Tamandua tetradactyla: one gene and its partner. The protein of the gene in region 1 interacts with the protein of each later gene in a biochemical or structural test. Links are inferred from orthologs where the notes say so. Each region holds a gene or a part of one and is shown on either strand. Other genes may lie near its edges.

What was found. The genes of interacting proteins can lie anywhere in the genome.
Region 2: the proteins of DOK1 (region 1) and FGR form a complex in vitro, tested with the Homo sapiens proteins (2 studies listed by BioGRID, with this or other methods). The link is inferred for Tamandua tetradactyla from reciprocal best matches to the Homo sapiens genes DOK1 and FGR.

What each region holds. Positions count from the first base shown.
Region 1 is NC_135343.1:48,440,601-48,447,533, reverse strand, and holds the start of DOK1 (docking protein 1), read right to left. Parts: upstream 3,044-6,933; 5' UTR 2,576-3,043; coding exon 2,516-2,575; intron 2,181-2,515; coding exon 1,881-2,180; intron 1,715-1,880; coding exon 1,621-1,714; intron 1,389-1,620; coding exon 1,204-1,388; intron 988-1,203; coding exon 172-987; 3' UTR 1-171. Other genes in the region: LOXL3 (lysyl oxidase homolog 3), read left to right, coding at 4,880-5,192, 6,807-6,933. UniProt on the Homo sapiens protein: DOK proteins are enzymatically inert adaptor or scaffolding proteins. They provide a docking platform for the assembly of multimolecular signaling complexes. DOK1 appears to be a negative regulator of the insulin signaling pathway.
Region 2 is NC_135328.1:198,649,027-198,656,288, reverse strand, and holds the start of FGR (tyrosine-protein kinase Fgr), read right to left. Parts: upstream 3,017-7,262; 5' UTR 2,837-3,016; intron 2,756-2,836; exon of another isoform or gene 2,659-2,755; intron 1-2,658. UniProt on the Homo sapiens protein: Non-receptor tyrosine-protein kinase that transmits signals from cell surface receptors devoid of kinase activity and contributes to the regulation of immune responses, including neutrophil, monocyte, macrophage and mast cell functions, cytoskeleton remodeling in response to extracellular stimuli, phagocytosis, cell adhesion and migration.

The DNA of each region.
Region 1 (6,933 bases):
TGCTGATTCCACCCCCACCCCCTATCATTTGTCCCACTTCTTAGGACTTCTTGGGATCCTTCCCACTACCCTGACCCTTCAGGTCTAACACAGGTCTATCAGGCCCCTAGTTTCTACTGGTTTCTTGATTGCTATAGTCTTCCTATCAACTCCCCAGCATTGCCTTTCTTCTCATATGGAGCCCTCTGACTTGAGCCCAGTCCTGTGGCTCCCTGCTCTAGAGAGCCCACAGTCCCAGCTCCCTGAGGCTCCACTCTTCTGGACCTTGCTATACAGGGCAGTGTCTGAACTGTGGCCTGTAGTGCCACTATCCAATTCAGTACCAAGTTCAGGGAAGGCTGGGCGCTGGGACTTGGGAGCTGGGAGGGGCTTGGTGCTCCGAGGGGGTGGCACAGCATAGTCGTCAGTGGCAGGGTTGTAAGGGAGTTCATAGCCCTCCTCCTTCACCCGAGCCTGGCACCACCAGGCATCCTTGGGCTCCTGCGGCAGGTCATAAAGGCCCCGGGGAGGAGCTGGGGCCAGGCCCTCAGGTTCATCATAGATGGGGTCCTCTCTGGGGTCCCTCAGCTTGGCCTTCAGCAACTGCTGCTGCGCATGCTCGTACAAGTCCCAGTAGAGGGTAGGTTTCTTCAGCTGTACCCCCTCCCTAGCACAAGCAAGGGTGCTGTCCAGGGGGTCTGAGTATAAGGAGTCCCGGGAAGGGCCTGGAGGAATGCGCAGGGAGTCCATGGGCTCAGCGTACAGGGCTGGGGGGCCTCCCAGGAGCTCCTTGGGACCAGGAGGGGAAGCCAGCTGCCCCCCTGTCCCCTCTCCTTCATGGGAATCAGTACTCAGAACATCGTGCCCCTGGCCAGCCCTTCCCTGGGCCTTCTGCTGATGGATGGCGGTCTCAACTGCCTGAAAAATGTCATTTCCCTGTGCCGTCTGGAAGGTGAAGGTTCCAGGGCCAGAGGGGCAGCGGCGGCCGGCCTCAAAAGAGAACATAACCTGAAGAGGGTATGGAGAGAAGCACATCATCAGAGTCTCAGGGCCTGAAGTAGCTAGAGAATCAAAGAGACTACCTGGGGAGGGAGTGGACTCAAGGGGTAGGCCAGGTAGGAGGAGCCCAAGGGGCAGAGTTTCCCTCCTTCCAGTCCTGCCCCATCCCATCCTCAGCTGGGGAACCCCAGAAGCCCTTCCCCATAGCCCCCTCCCCGCCCCCACCTTGTCTCGACCATAGCGACGGAGCAGAGTGTAAGGCCAGGAAAGGAGCGGCTCCAGGCTCTGGCTCCCAGACCTCAGGGTCAAGAGAGTCAGCTTCTCAGCCTCAGCCCTCAGCACATAGGAGCCGTGCAGGCCACAGCGCTCTGCAGCCTCAGTCCTCTGCACAGTCACCCAGAACTGGGATCCTGAAAGGAAGAGCCATTAGATTCAAGGGGCACCTGGTCAGAACTGGGGGTTGGGGGGCTGGTGCAGGGAGTGTAGAGACCAGAAAGTATTGGGGAGCACAGTGCCCAAGCACTCACTCCAAGTCAGACTTCCGGGGCTCTCCCCCTTCCCCCTGGGTCCGGGAACCCTCTAATAACCCCTTTCCAAAGTCACCCCTTCTCGCGATCCCATTTTTGCTTCTCAAGCCTCTACCTTCCCAGGAGGAGCTATACAGAGAGTTCTCCAGCATCTCCAAGGCAGAAAGCTTGGGTAGATTTTCTGCAGGCGTCGGAGCCCAGCTGCCTTTCTGTGTAAAGAAAGAGTGTCCAGGACTCTCCCTAGCGTGGCTCCCGGGGTCTGAGCCAGCTGAGACCTCTGCTGCCGTGACCCTCATCCTGCCCCCCGCCTCACATCGTCCCTTGGGCCCAGGGCCATTCGCCCCAGACCCCTTCCCACTCCCCGGAACCCCTCACCGGAAAGGCGTTTCGGCACAGTGTCTGCACCCAGGCGGCGCTGGACGGCGCGTCAGCTGCCAGCAGGTGGGAGCGCTGCGCGGTGTCCAGGCGGAAGGCGGCGGCGCCGGGCTCAGGGGGGCTCTCCACAGCCACGGGGGCCACGCTCACACACTCCGCCAGACGGATTACCTTGCAGTCCAAGCGGCGCGAGCCCCCCCGGCCACCTCCAGAGCCCGACCCCTTGTGGTCAAAGAACTCGAGCCGGGCTACGCCGTGGGGGCTGGCCGGGTAGAGCACGGCCCAGGTCTTTTTCCACCTCTGCGGAGAAAGCGCGAGACTCTGAGGAGTGCGCTGCTTATCTCGAGCGGCCGCTGGCCGAACGGGAGAGGAGGCACTGGCTCAGCTCTGGGGCTTCCCGACTGGGCAAGAAGTTTCCCTAGGAGATCGCCATTCCGGCTCCCCAGGAAGAGGGAAAGCGTAGCCCGAGACCCGCAGACGCTTCTCCCGAGTGTGCAAAGCAACTTCGGAGGAACGTCGCGGGACTCTCCGGGTCCCCGCGCCGCACTCCAACCCGCTGCCCACCCCTCCCTCCTTCTGGGCCCTCTCGCCCACCTCTAGCCCTGCTGGGGTTTAGCGTCCCCAGCCCCTACTACCTTGGTCCCGAAACGCTGACTCTGCAAAAACAGAGGCCCTTCCATCACCGCCTCGTCCATGGCCCCCGGCGGTTCCTTCCGCGCTTCCTGGCCCCGCCGGCTGGAGGCGGGGAAGAGGCGGGGCCGGACTCGCCCGGGGCGGACCACGCGTGGGGAGGGGGGCGAGAAGCGAGCGGGAAACGGGATCCCCAGAAACACCCGGCGGCCGCCCTACTTCCGGGCCCCAACCCATAGCCCTGGGTGGGTGGGGGACAAGTAGCTCTACCATGAGAAATTTTGCGGTCTCGGGCTGAGCGTAGGAGCTGCGTGTGACGTTATGATCCCCTCATGACATCAGAGTGATGGCGTGACATCACCCCGAAAGTGGCCGCCGGCACCCTGGGGCACAGGAGGGGCCACGGGCATCCTCCCGGTCTCAGTTTCCCTGCCCCGGCCCGACCCTAACCCGGCCCGAGCTGAGCTGTTTACGCTCGGCCGAGCCGGGGCTGGGGGCGGAGGGGCAGGGCCGGGGCTGGAAGGCTTCGAGCCACAGCCCCGAGCCGAGCCGGGCCTCCCGTCGCCACCGGGCTGCTGCCGGGGGCTGTCGGTGGCCCCGTGGCCGCTTGCGTGTCCAGATCCCTGACCGCAGCTACCCGGCGTCCAACCGGCGAGTAAAGAAAGCTTCTTTGAGCCGACCGGGAGGCTGGGGCTGGGGCGCGGCGTCGGCCAGTCCCGCGGGGAGGGGAGAGCCGAGGGAAGCCGAGGCGGGGCCAGCGAGGGAGGAACCCCGGGAGAGGGTGGAATGTAGGCGGGCTCCAGGGGACATGGGCGGGACTAGCGGAGAGGGGGGGGCCTCCCCTGGCCGAGCACTTTTTTTTTTGGAAGTCTTAAGACAGAACCCCGGGACCGGGACTCTTCATCCAGCCCCTAAGGCCCCGCTCAGCCAAAGGTAGGGGGTGTTAAGCTGTCCGCTGAAGGAAGAGGAGTTGAGGATGGAGAGGATGGTGAAGGGACCAGGGAAGAGGAGTGGCGTGGGTTGGAGTCAAGGACAAGCCAACCAACGGAGGGTTTTATTATTATCAAAGGGGAGATACAAGAAAAGTGGAGAGAAGAAGCAGATGGTGGGGGGCAGGGGTTCCAAATAAGGCAGCTGAGAGGGCTCTAAGGCTGGGGGGCTCCTCTGTGAGGCCTTACCCCTGGCCAAAGTCCCCAGAACAAAGCTGTCTTGTTGGGTTGTTTGTCTGGGTTGGGGGAAGCATGCTCTGGGGGCCCCCTGGCTGTGGAGGGTCTGTTCACGGCCCCAGACGGAGAGAGGGCCTTGGCTGCCGTGCAAATCCGCGCCCTGGCCTCTGGTTGCCGGGTGACAGAGAAGGCGGTGTTGGCCGGAGGTTGTGTTGGCTGGAGGCTCCGACCACCCCACCCCATCTCTGCCCTGCGTGAGGCCTGGCCCTCCTGGGCCCCCTGACCTGATGGGACATCTGAGAGCCCATGAGCCTGGGCAGAGGTGCAGAAGTTCCCTGGATGGTCTGGTCTCTGCCCTCCCTGCAACCACATCTTCCCCAGATGGGACTCTGCTCCGCTGCCATTCAAGGGATCTGAGACCAGAGGGTCTCTTGGGCCCCAGTGGCCTGCCTCTCTCCACAATCAATAGGGCTGTCAGTCTGTGTGACTGACGGAATAGGGTCATCTGGGTTCCTCCCACATCTGCTCTTTGGCTCCCCCCTTAACAGCTGCCTGTACCTTTCCCTATTTCTCCCTAACTCCGTGTGCCTAGCTCTCTCCCTGTCACATTCTTTCTGTCTTCACTGTCTCTCTCTTCCGCTGCCTCTTTCTGTTTGTCTCCCTTGCATTCCCACAGTTTCCCTTCATCTCACATCCTGTCTGTCTGGGTCTTCCTCTCTCTGGGTCTCTTGCTCAGACTCCGTCTCTTTATCTTGACCTGTCCCTGACCCTTGGTCTCTAAAAAAACAATCACTCTTTTGACCTCTGGGTCTCTCAAACTGGGGGGTGGGAGCAATGGAGGTGATGATGGCAGAACTAGGGAAAGGCACAGTGGAGCGTTACAACTGATTGTGAAGATTTATTATTTACACGGGGTGGGGGGGGCAGCTGTTTGCTCCCTCTTCCCCTCTCCCTCCATCTGAGTCTCCTAGTCACTCCTCTTTGACTGTGTCTCTGCTTTTATTTAGAGTGTGTCCCTCTTACTGTCTCCCACAGTCCCTGAGCCTCTCTCACCACGGTTTCTCTGTCTCCCTCTTTGGTCTTATTCAGGGTCTGTTTTTCTTTCACGACATCTATCTTTGACTCTGGGCCTCGCTCAGTCTCTGTTTCTCTTCCTCCCTCTCTCTCTCTCTCTTTTTCTGGGGCACGCAGGCCTTCTCTGCCATGCAACCTGTCAGCATCTGGCAGTGGAGCTCATGGGGTCTGCTGCTGTGCCTGCTGTGCTGCTCGTGTCTGGGGTCTCCCTCCCCATCCATGGGTCCCGAGAAACGAGACGGAAGTGAGGGGCTACGGTTCCGGCTGGCTGGCTTCCCCAGGAAGCCCTACGAGGGCCGTGTGGAAATACAGCGTGCCGGCGAGTGGGGCACCATCTGTGATGACGACTTCACACTGCAGGCTGCCCACATCCTCTGCCGGGAGCTGGGCTTCACGGAGGCCACAGGCTGGACCCACAGTGCCAAATATGGCCCTGGAACAGGTGAGCAATGCTTCCAGTGGCCTAAATGCAGGGAGAGGGAGTATCAGATAGCACAGTCACAGAGAGGGACACAGGGAACCAAAAACACCCAATGTCAAGAAAACCTATGGATGACAAGCCAACACAGTCACTTCCCAGGTTCATGTGACTTTAGGTTGTCAGTTGCTTTCTCTGAGCCTCAAATGTCCCAGTTGCAAAGTGACTAAATGATCTCTAAGTTCCTTTCTGCCACAAAAGTGTGTGAGTCTACAAAGCCACATGCCATGGAAGCCCAGATACAGGTAGCCCTGTATTTCAGTACAGCTGGTTCCGTGGGAAGGTGAAAGCCGGCAAATGATGTCTGGATGTCCCAAAGCCAGAAGGGATCACAAATACATACTGCAGCTACAAAATCAGGTTACAAGCCAGAGCTGAAACCAACAAATTGGAACCGAATAAGGACAAACATGAGGCTTAAGACAGGTATGGGGAGGGGGGTTAAGAGCAATTTGAGTGAGACCTGGGAATACCTGGACTGTCTGGGCCCACTGGGATTGATAGGCAGAAGCTAATGCAACCAGCAGCCAATGCCCCAGTACCCACTGGCTAGACCACTTCGGGAATAAAATGTCTACTTGTGAGTGCCACATTTTAAGAGAGACACTAGAAAATGGAAATAACTTTTTTGGCAGCCAAGTTTTAAGGAGGAATAGCTGAAGAAACCAGGGACATTTGGTCTGGAAAGAAAAAGCCTTCAATGACAATTACAAGACGGTTGTCTTCAGTTGAACAGGGCAGTGATGTGACTGAGCGATTTTTCTGGATGGCATCAAAGGACTGAGACCTAGTGGGGGAGTCATCAACAGTCCCAGGAAGTCTCTGATGGGGGTAGCAGCCAGGTGGGGCGGGAGGAGGGTATCCAGCAGAAGCTGAGCAAGCTCTATCAGTGGGTGCGTAGGGGTCTCTGCACACCGGCTGGGACGGACGACCTTTGATGTCCTGTCCAATTCTGAGAGGAAATCAGTGCTGTTCAGTGCGGGGTCCAGCCTGAGAAGAACAAGGGGCAGCATAGTGGCACAGGCAGGGAGGCACGTGGGAGGATGTGTGGCTCCAGTAAAAGGATCTTAGATCTCCAAGCCTCACAGACTGGGCTCAAACACCTGCCCCCATCTACTGGCTGTGTGGTTGGTCTTAAGCAAGTTACCTAACTTGTCTAAACCTCCATTTCCTTATATAAAATGATGATGGTGTCTTCCTGGCAACACGGTTCCTAGAGTGATCATATATGTACAGAACCTAGCAGTGTCTGACACTCACTGGGTACTTGATTAATTGTAGTCATCATTGACCTGGTAAGGACTGATCTGAACTTCACTGTTGACTCAGTTTTTTATTCACCCTACTAATTTCTTGAGTAGGCCCAGATCACCACCAACTCTCTGGCAACTGCGTGCCCCTTGCCTATTTCGTTGCAGGGTTCCCTGTCCCTCCCCCCCCACCCCATCATCTTCAAAGAAAAATAGGATCTTCACAGCCAGGTGGGAAACCCCCAGGCTCAGTATTTCTAATACCCCCACCCCTCCCCCCTGCTATCTCCCTCAGCCTCTCTCAGTCCCTTCATCTCCCCTACTACAGGCCGCATCTGGCTGGACAACCTAAATTGCAGAGGGACAGAGCAGAGTGTGACTGAATGTGCCTCCCGGGGCTGGGGGAACAGTGACTGTACCCACGATGAGGACGCCGGGGTCATCTGCAAGGACCA
Region 2 (7,262 bases), on another chromosome or scaffold:
TTCCTTTCCCTAAACAAGACCCCTCCAAGGCAGGGTGGAGGGGATGGCCTGTGGGGCCGGGCTGAGAAGAAAGAGAAGTTCCCAGGGTGCAGTGGGGAGGGCTGAGTTGGCTTAGCTGCCTGGGGGATTTCACCAAAAGGGAACTGGGACTTGGGGCAGTGGCAGGAAACCACCATCCTGCAAGAGTTCCGGCTTCTCCTCAGGGTTCTGGGCTGGGCAGGAGGCAGGCCAGGGTTGGAGGGGCAGGAAGCAATTCTAAGATCTGCAGGCCACCCCCAGCCCCTCTGTGCCCCACCCCTCACTAAGACCTGACCTGATGAAGGAAGGGTTCTCTCACCACTCCTCACTGAACCCCAGGCCCTTTCTGAGCCCTTATCCCTCTTATTAAGGTCGCCACCTCTCACTGAACCTCCATCCCTCTTATTGAACACTATCTTTTCTGGAGGCCTCACAGCACCCACCCCCACCGGCACCCCACCCCAAACACTCACGGGCCCTAGCAGAAAGGCCCTACTCTGACTTTACTACCCTAGTGGGGCCAGGTGCATGTGATGGGGGTGGGGAGTGGGGGTGGCAGATACGTGCCACACCAGCTTTTTCCTCCACATGGTCCTGAAGGTACCAGCTGAGTTTTCTCTACTTGGGAGTAAAAGTGGTTTCCCATCTGTCTCTGAAAACCCACCAGCCTCTAAAACAGGAGTCTGAGTTCAGCTCCCACCTGGCCTGGGACTCAGAATTCACAGGAGATGGGAGCCCATGGATGTTCTGGGGAAGCTGAGGAGATGAGAGTTTAGATTCCACATTGTGGCCAGAAAGGAAGTCCCCTTGCGAGTCCTGGGGGGGGGGGGGGGCACCCTTCCCTGTCCGCTCTGTTCAGGAAGGACCCTGGCACCTCCTTCCCCAACTCTGGGGTCTCCTGCTCAGCCCACCCCCCAGGGTCTGACCACTTCCTTTGCCTCATTGGCCCCAGGTGGCTGCTGAGAACTCCTAAACACCCACACGGGCTCACTCACATGCTCATGCTCATTTGCTCAGAGCCCGAATCAAATTCACACCCTCACACCCTCACGCCCTCACTCACAGCTTCTCGCCCCCTGGAAAGCAGGAGAGAGCACCGATACACACAGCCCCCTGCGCCCACTCCCGTGTCCACCCCTACCCCTCTCCAGAGGGCTACATGGGACTTGGCAGGGATTAGGTGGGAACCCCTTTGTCACAAGCGAAAGAGGCCCTGGAGTCCACTCCCAATGGCTGGCCCTGTCGTTCGCTGCCTCCCAAATTTCCATCTTCCCATCTGTGAAGTTGGAACAGGGCCTTGCTCTCCCACCCACCACCAGACTGAAGGATGCCAAGGGCCTCGGGATCCCTGAGAGACTCCATGACCCAGGGGAAGGCTGGCTGGGTGTGGGGGCAGATCTCACCCCCAGTGACTCCGCACGGTGGGCCCTCCACACATGCACAGACACTTACTTATTTATAAGATACTAACTGTGTGCTGGTGCCTGGGGGCCCTATCAGTGAGACCCAGGCTTCCTGGCCCCCTCTGTGCCGTCGAGAAGGCGCAGGAGAGGCTAGCTGGGTCAGCGAGGGCCTGTAAGCTCCCCAGGACACTCAGCCAAACTGATTTCTGTACCCGATTCACACAGATTCAGGTATAGGGGATAGGGGCAGAGATCATTTCTCCCCACTGTTCAAATGCAGAAAGTGAGGCCCAGAGGAGCCCGGTAACTTGCCCAAAGTCACACAGCAATGAAAGAAAGGCCCAGACTAGCTAAGAACCCAGGTCTCTGCAGGTTTTCCCTGAAGGATCCCTGAACGATGTGCATCAGGGCCTCACTCCTCTGTCCGGCGAACGGCCCCTGCCTGGGGTCCCAGAAGTCAGGAGGTGATGAGGACAGAAGGGGCTGCTCCAGTAAGGAGACCAGCATTTGCCAAGAGCCCGGCTCTGCCTCTCCTCCCTGGCGTTGCCATGGAGACAGCCCCTCCGGGCAATCACGGTCAAAGGCAGGATTTCCGTCGGGGCGGCCAGCAATTCCCGGATCCCGAGGGGAACGCGGACAGAGCCCGCCACTGCGGGGGGGCGGGTACCCAGAGAGGCCTGACTTGCCGAGGGCGGGGACTTCCCCAGGAAGAGGGGACCCGCGCCTCTAGAGCCTAGAGGCGTCTCCTCGCTGGCCCGGGTCCTCCCACCCGGCGGGGAGGGAGAGTCTAGGGGGAGGGGGAGCTTCGTTCCTGGCCGCCTGCCCCCCCACCCCCCCCCAAGCCACAGGCTTCACCCCGGGCTTCTGTCAGTTGGCGATCGGGGATCTCCTGGGCCCCCACAATTGCGTCATACATTCTGAGTCCCCCAGAAATGGTTCTCCTTGACCCTTCTTTCCTGCAAACTGCCTCACCTGACCCTTCCAGTCCCCCCGCCTAGCTCCCCTTCCCTAGACTCCTCAGTTTCCCCACAAATTCTCACTCTCAAGGTCCCTTCAGTTCTCCTCCAGACCATTTTTGGGGAGGTCCCCTTACTCCCCATGCCCCGACTCTCTTAGCCCTTTTTCCAATTTCGATCAAACTTACTCCACAGGTCCCCTTCCCTTTCCCCAGCAGACCTTTTTGGGGAACCCTCTTAATCCTCCCCTGTTCCCCTCCACAACTTGCATCCAGTCTCACTCTCCAGGTCTCCTGAGTTCTTCCCAGACCCTTCTCTGAGCGGGAGCCTCTTGGTCCAAGTCTCTTCAGCTGTCCACCCTAAGGCTCCCAGGCTCGCTCCCCCAGGCCCCTGTCGCCGGGCCGGGCCGGGCCGGGGGCGGGGCACGGCGCTGCGCCTCCCAGCCCCCCACCTGCCTACCTGTGCCCGTCCCCGGGGCGATCCAGCGGGGCTCCCGGCCGCAGCGAGGCCGACGCGGGGGCGGAACCCGGGTCCTGCTTGCCTCTGCCGGCCGCGGGCTCTGGCTGGGAGGAGGAAGCCGCTTCGGACTTCTCTTCTCGCAGCGGTGGCGGCGGCGGCGGGGACAGCTCTCAGTCACGCCCCGGCCTCGAACCAGCTGCCCGCGCGGGGGGGGGGGGGGGGGGGGGGAAGGGGCCCTCAGATCCTAGGCTCGCCCGGCCCCACTTCCCACCTCCCCGGGGTGACCAGGGATCGGCCCTCCCAGCCCTCTCCCAGCACCCCAGCCCTGTCCCCCACCCCACACCCCGCCTAAGCCCCCAGTACCACCTTCCCAAAGAACCCCTCCCCCCCCCCCCCCCCCCCGCAAGGCACCTGCTTTCTTAGAATCATTAGATTTGAGGTTAGAAAGCACTTTTCTCTATCACTGAACCCACTGCCCTCTCTGTCCATTGAGGCCCAGATGGAGACAGGTCTGACCCAAACTTTCACAGCCAGTTGACCTGGAAATGTAAGAGCCATTGTGAGTCCATCACCTGCCTTGCCTCCTTCAGGGCCCTGGGCACTGGGGCACAGGGATGCGGGAGGTTGGGGAGTAGACCAAGAACCTTCCCTGGGGAAACTACATTTCAGAGAAAATTTGCCTTCGGGTCACAATGAAGGAGGAAGGGTGTCAGCCCTCCCCTTGCCCAAGTCTTAGAGAAACAGAGACCATCTTCTATCAGCCTTTGAGGCTGGTAGGGATCGCTGACCCCTCCTCAACTTGGGGGTCAATTCCCCTTCCCACAGCTGTTACTTCCTTAGTCTTAAACTAAGGCCTAGAAAAAAATTCTTCCGGTGGGGAGGAAGATGTATGGGGAGGAGGGTTGTTTGATGGAGAAGTGTGCACGTGTTGGGATGCAGTGGGAAGGAAGGGAGGGTGTGTAAACACAGAAGCGTGTATATGTGCATATGCATGTGCATGCGTGTGTGTACAATTGTAGGCAATGAACACGATGGATGCAGTTTTGGAACCAACCGCAGGGCGTATTCTTCGGAATCGTGTGTTTCTGTGTACGGGCAGGGGAGGGTTCAGAAGCCTGAGAGGGGGTGGGCTCAGATGTCTGTGCGATGGGTTCTCACAGAGTGGCAGAGAGTAGTGGGATGCAGGTAGGTGTACTTTTCTCGTAGGGAAACGGGAGGAGGGATGGGGAAGATGACACAAGGGAGCTGGTTGGGGTGGGGGGGCAGGGGCTTCGGAAGGGTGGTCTCGCGCTGGCTGGCCAGCATCATCTCCACCATCCAGCACTCCCTGGCTGGCCTTTGGTCCACATGTTCAGTTAACAAACATTTAGCATTCCCTGGCAGGTGCCAGCCTTAGGGAGCACCGGTGAAAGACACTGGTCCCTGCTCCTGGGAGAGCCCCCAGTTGCTCTCATTTACTTCTGTCATCCTCCAAGGTCTAACTCACAGGCGCCTCCCCAGGAGGCCTTCCCTGATTCCGGTTCCCCTCTCCAACAGGGCACTCAGTGCCTTCTACCAGTATGTATGACTAGTTCTTGGGGAATGGATGTGTGGGGATGTGTTTTCCTCAAGGGCAAGGACTGGGTCTGGCTCTTTCCAGCGCCCCCAGTGCCCATGCGGTGGCTGGCCCAGAGCAGCAGGCTCTCTGGACATAGGAATGCATGAATCCATCAAGGAACAAAGGAATTAATGGGTGAACAGATGAAAGCCCAATGAAAGAGCAAATAATTGAAGGTAAGATGTACCTTCAGTCCCTTGCTCAAATATTAAATAGTCCCTCCAATAGCTTATCTCCCATTTGTCTTGGAATAACAAAAATGAAATAAAACAATGATAAAAATAATTAAATTTGGTGTGTGACTATATATCAATAAATTTTTTTTTATTTTAATTAAACTTAAACTCCTTCCCACGGCTTCCCAGGTTCTGTCTGGTCTCTGCCCACCTCTCCAGTCCCACCTTGGGCCAGCTCCCTCTCCAGCTACACTGTGTAGTTCCTAGACTACATTGAGCTTCAAAACCTTCTCTCATGCTGTTTCCACTTTCTGAGACATGCTTCTCCTTGCTCTTCATAATACCGGCTCCTTTCTGTCCTTTATCTAAAGTGTCACCTCCTCAGAGAAGCCATCCCTGATGACTCCATCTAAGGATCTGCCACCTCCATTCTTGGTCTCAGCACCCTGTTTGTCTCCTTCATGGCGATTGGAATTATGTATTTCTGCTTATTACTTATTGTCTGATGTCTCCTGGGGTTAGGCCACCTCCTCCCGTCCCTGAACTTCCCTTGCCCAGATCAGGGCTCTGACGTCCGGACACATCTGTACCATTTGAAATAGGGACAGGAGGATTCTCTGACCCTCATCCATCCATTCAGAGTAACCTAGTGGTGAGAAACATAGACTCTGGGCCCAGACTGCCCAGCTGTAGGTGAACTCTGCCTCTTGCTAGCTCTGTGAACTTAGAGAAGTTATTTCACCTTTCTGTGCCTCAGTTTTCTCATCTGTAAAATGGAGATAATAGTAGAACCCACATTATAGGAGTCTTGGGAGAATTCACTAAGTGTTAGACTAGTGCTCAGTACATATATGTGCTTGCTATCATTTATTCAATTGATCAGACCTCAAACCTTCACTCAAACCTATTCTGGGTCAGGCCTTTTTCTGAGCGTTGGAAGCTTAGATATGAATATGGTTCATTCCTTGGCCTCAGACGCTCCCTGTTTGCACAGAATATGGGTGGATACAGTGCAAAGAGGCTACAGGAGTGGCCTGTTCAAACGCCCTACTCTCTGGCCAAAGTCTCCTATCATTCCCCATAATTACATGCTCCTTTAACAGAAATCTGACAACTGATACCAAAACCAAAAACCAAAGCTCACAAGCCCATTGGAATCTTCCATTCATTTTCCCATCAGGCCATCACTCTCCTATTTTTAACCAGCTTAGATTCCATCATCAGTCTTTACAGTCTTCCTTTGCAAATATTTTGTCTTTCCTTGTCTCTTCCTGCCTCTACTGAACTTGCTTGGAAAACTCCAGGCCTGCAGGAATCCTGCCATTCAACTTCTCTCAGTGTGGAGGAGAAAATCACACCCCAGGGAGACAGGTTCATTAAGTCACAGCCTAAACTGAACTCCTCTTAGTAAGCTGTCCCTATATCTCTCCCCAGATGAACAGTTCACACCCTTTCTTATGTTCCCCAACTTCTTCTCCACTTGGATTCTAAACCCTCTCACCTTCTTGAAGACTTCATGCCTTCTGTAATCACCTCTCCTGCACCATCCACTTGTCCCTCTCCATGGAATTACCTGCTCAACATATGAACATGTTCTAGACTAGAATCTCTCACTTAAAACAAAAATAACAAAACAAGAAACCTTCCCTTAGAAAAGTAAGCATTTATCCTGCCTTTTTCAGGCGGAATGGTGGTTCATTCCTCCTTGATAATGGAAGGTTCTTTGTAGAAGAATGCTTCCTACCAAAGATAGAATTTGAAAAACTCAATTCTGCAAACCCAGTGAAATAATTGATTTAGACAAGAATCGTCAATGATGCTGAAACCACAGGTGAAAGGCTTTAAGGAACAGAATGTTCTCACAGTGCCCAAGTAATACCACACAGATGACTTGCTATTTGTAAAGAAGAAAATGTTCCTTTTCAATAGAGAGACCTGGTGGATACCCCACAGCTGGTGCTCAATCGGCAGTATGTGCCTCCTCATATGATGGCTGTGAAGCCCACAATATTACCATGGAAAATTCTTGCCATAAATATTTAGCCTAAATCCAATCAAGTCTCTGACCAGGAGTTGGCAAACTACAGGCTAAATCTATCCGGCTGCCTGTTTTTGAACAACCCATGAGCTAAGAACGGCTTTAACGTTTTTAAATCATTGCAAAAAATTCAAAAGAAGAATACTATTTCGTGACATGTTCGAATTATGATGAATTCAGATTTCAGTGTGCATAAATAAAGTTTTATTGGAACATAGTCATGCTCCATTTACACATTGGGTATTGCTGCCGTTATGCTGATACATACTGATACAATAGGTAGTTGCAATGTGACTATAAGGTTTGCAAAGCCAAAAGTATTAAGTCTCTGGCCTTTACAGAAAAAGTTTGCCAACCCCTCCTCTATAACTACCTTCCAATTATAAGAAATGCAGGGATTAGAGGAATAAGTTAAATGGCACTACAAGGTCTCAGTGGGGGATGTTCTACAAGATAATTAGCCTGGGCACTTATAAAAGTTGCTGTCCTAAAAAAAAAAGAAGGCAGGATGGGGCATGACCTGTATTAAAAGAGACCAAAGAGACATCACCACCAAATACAATGTGTTAACCTTAGCTAGAGTTTCTTTTGGAGAAAAAAAACCCCAGCTATACT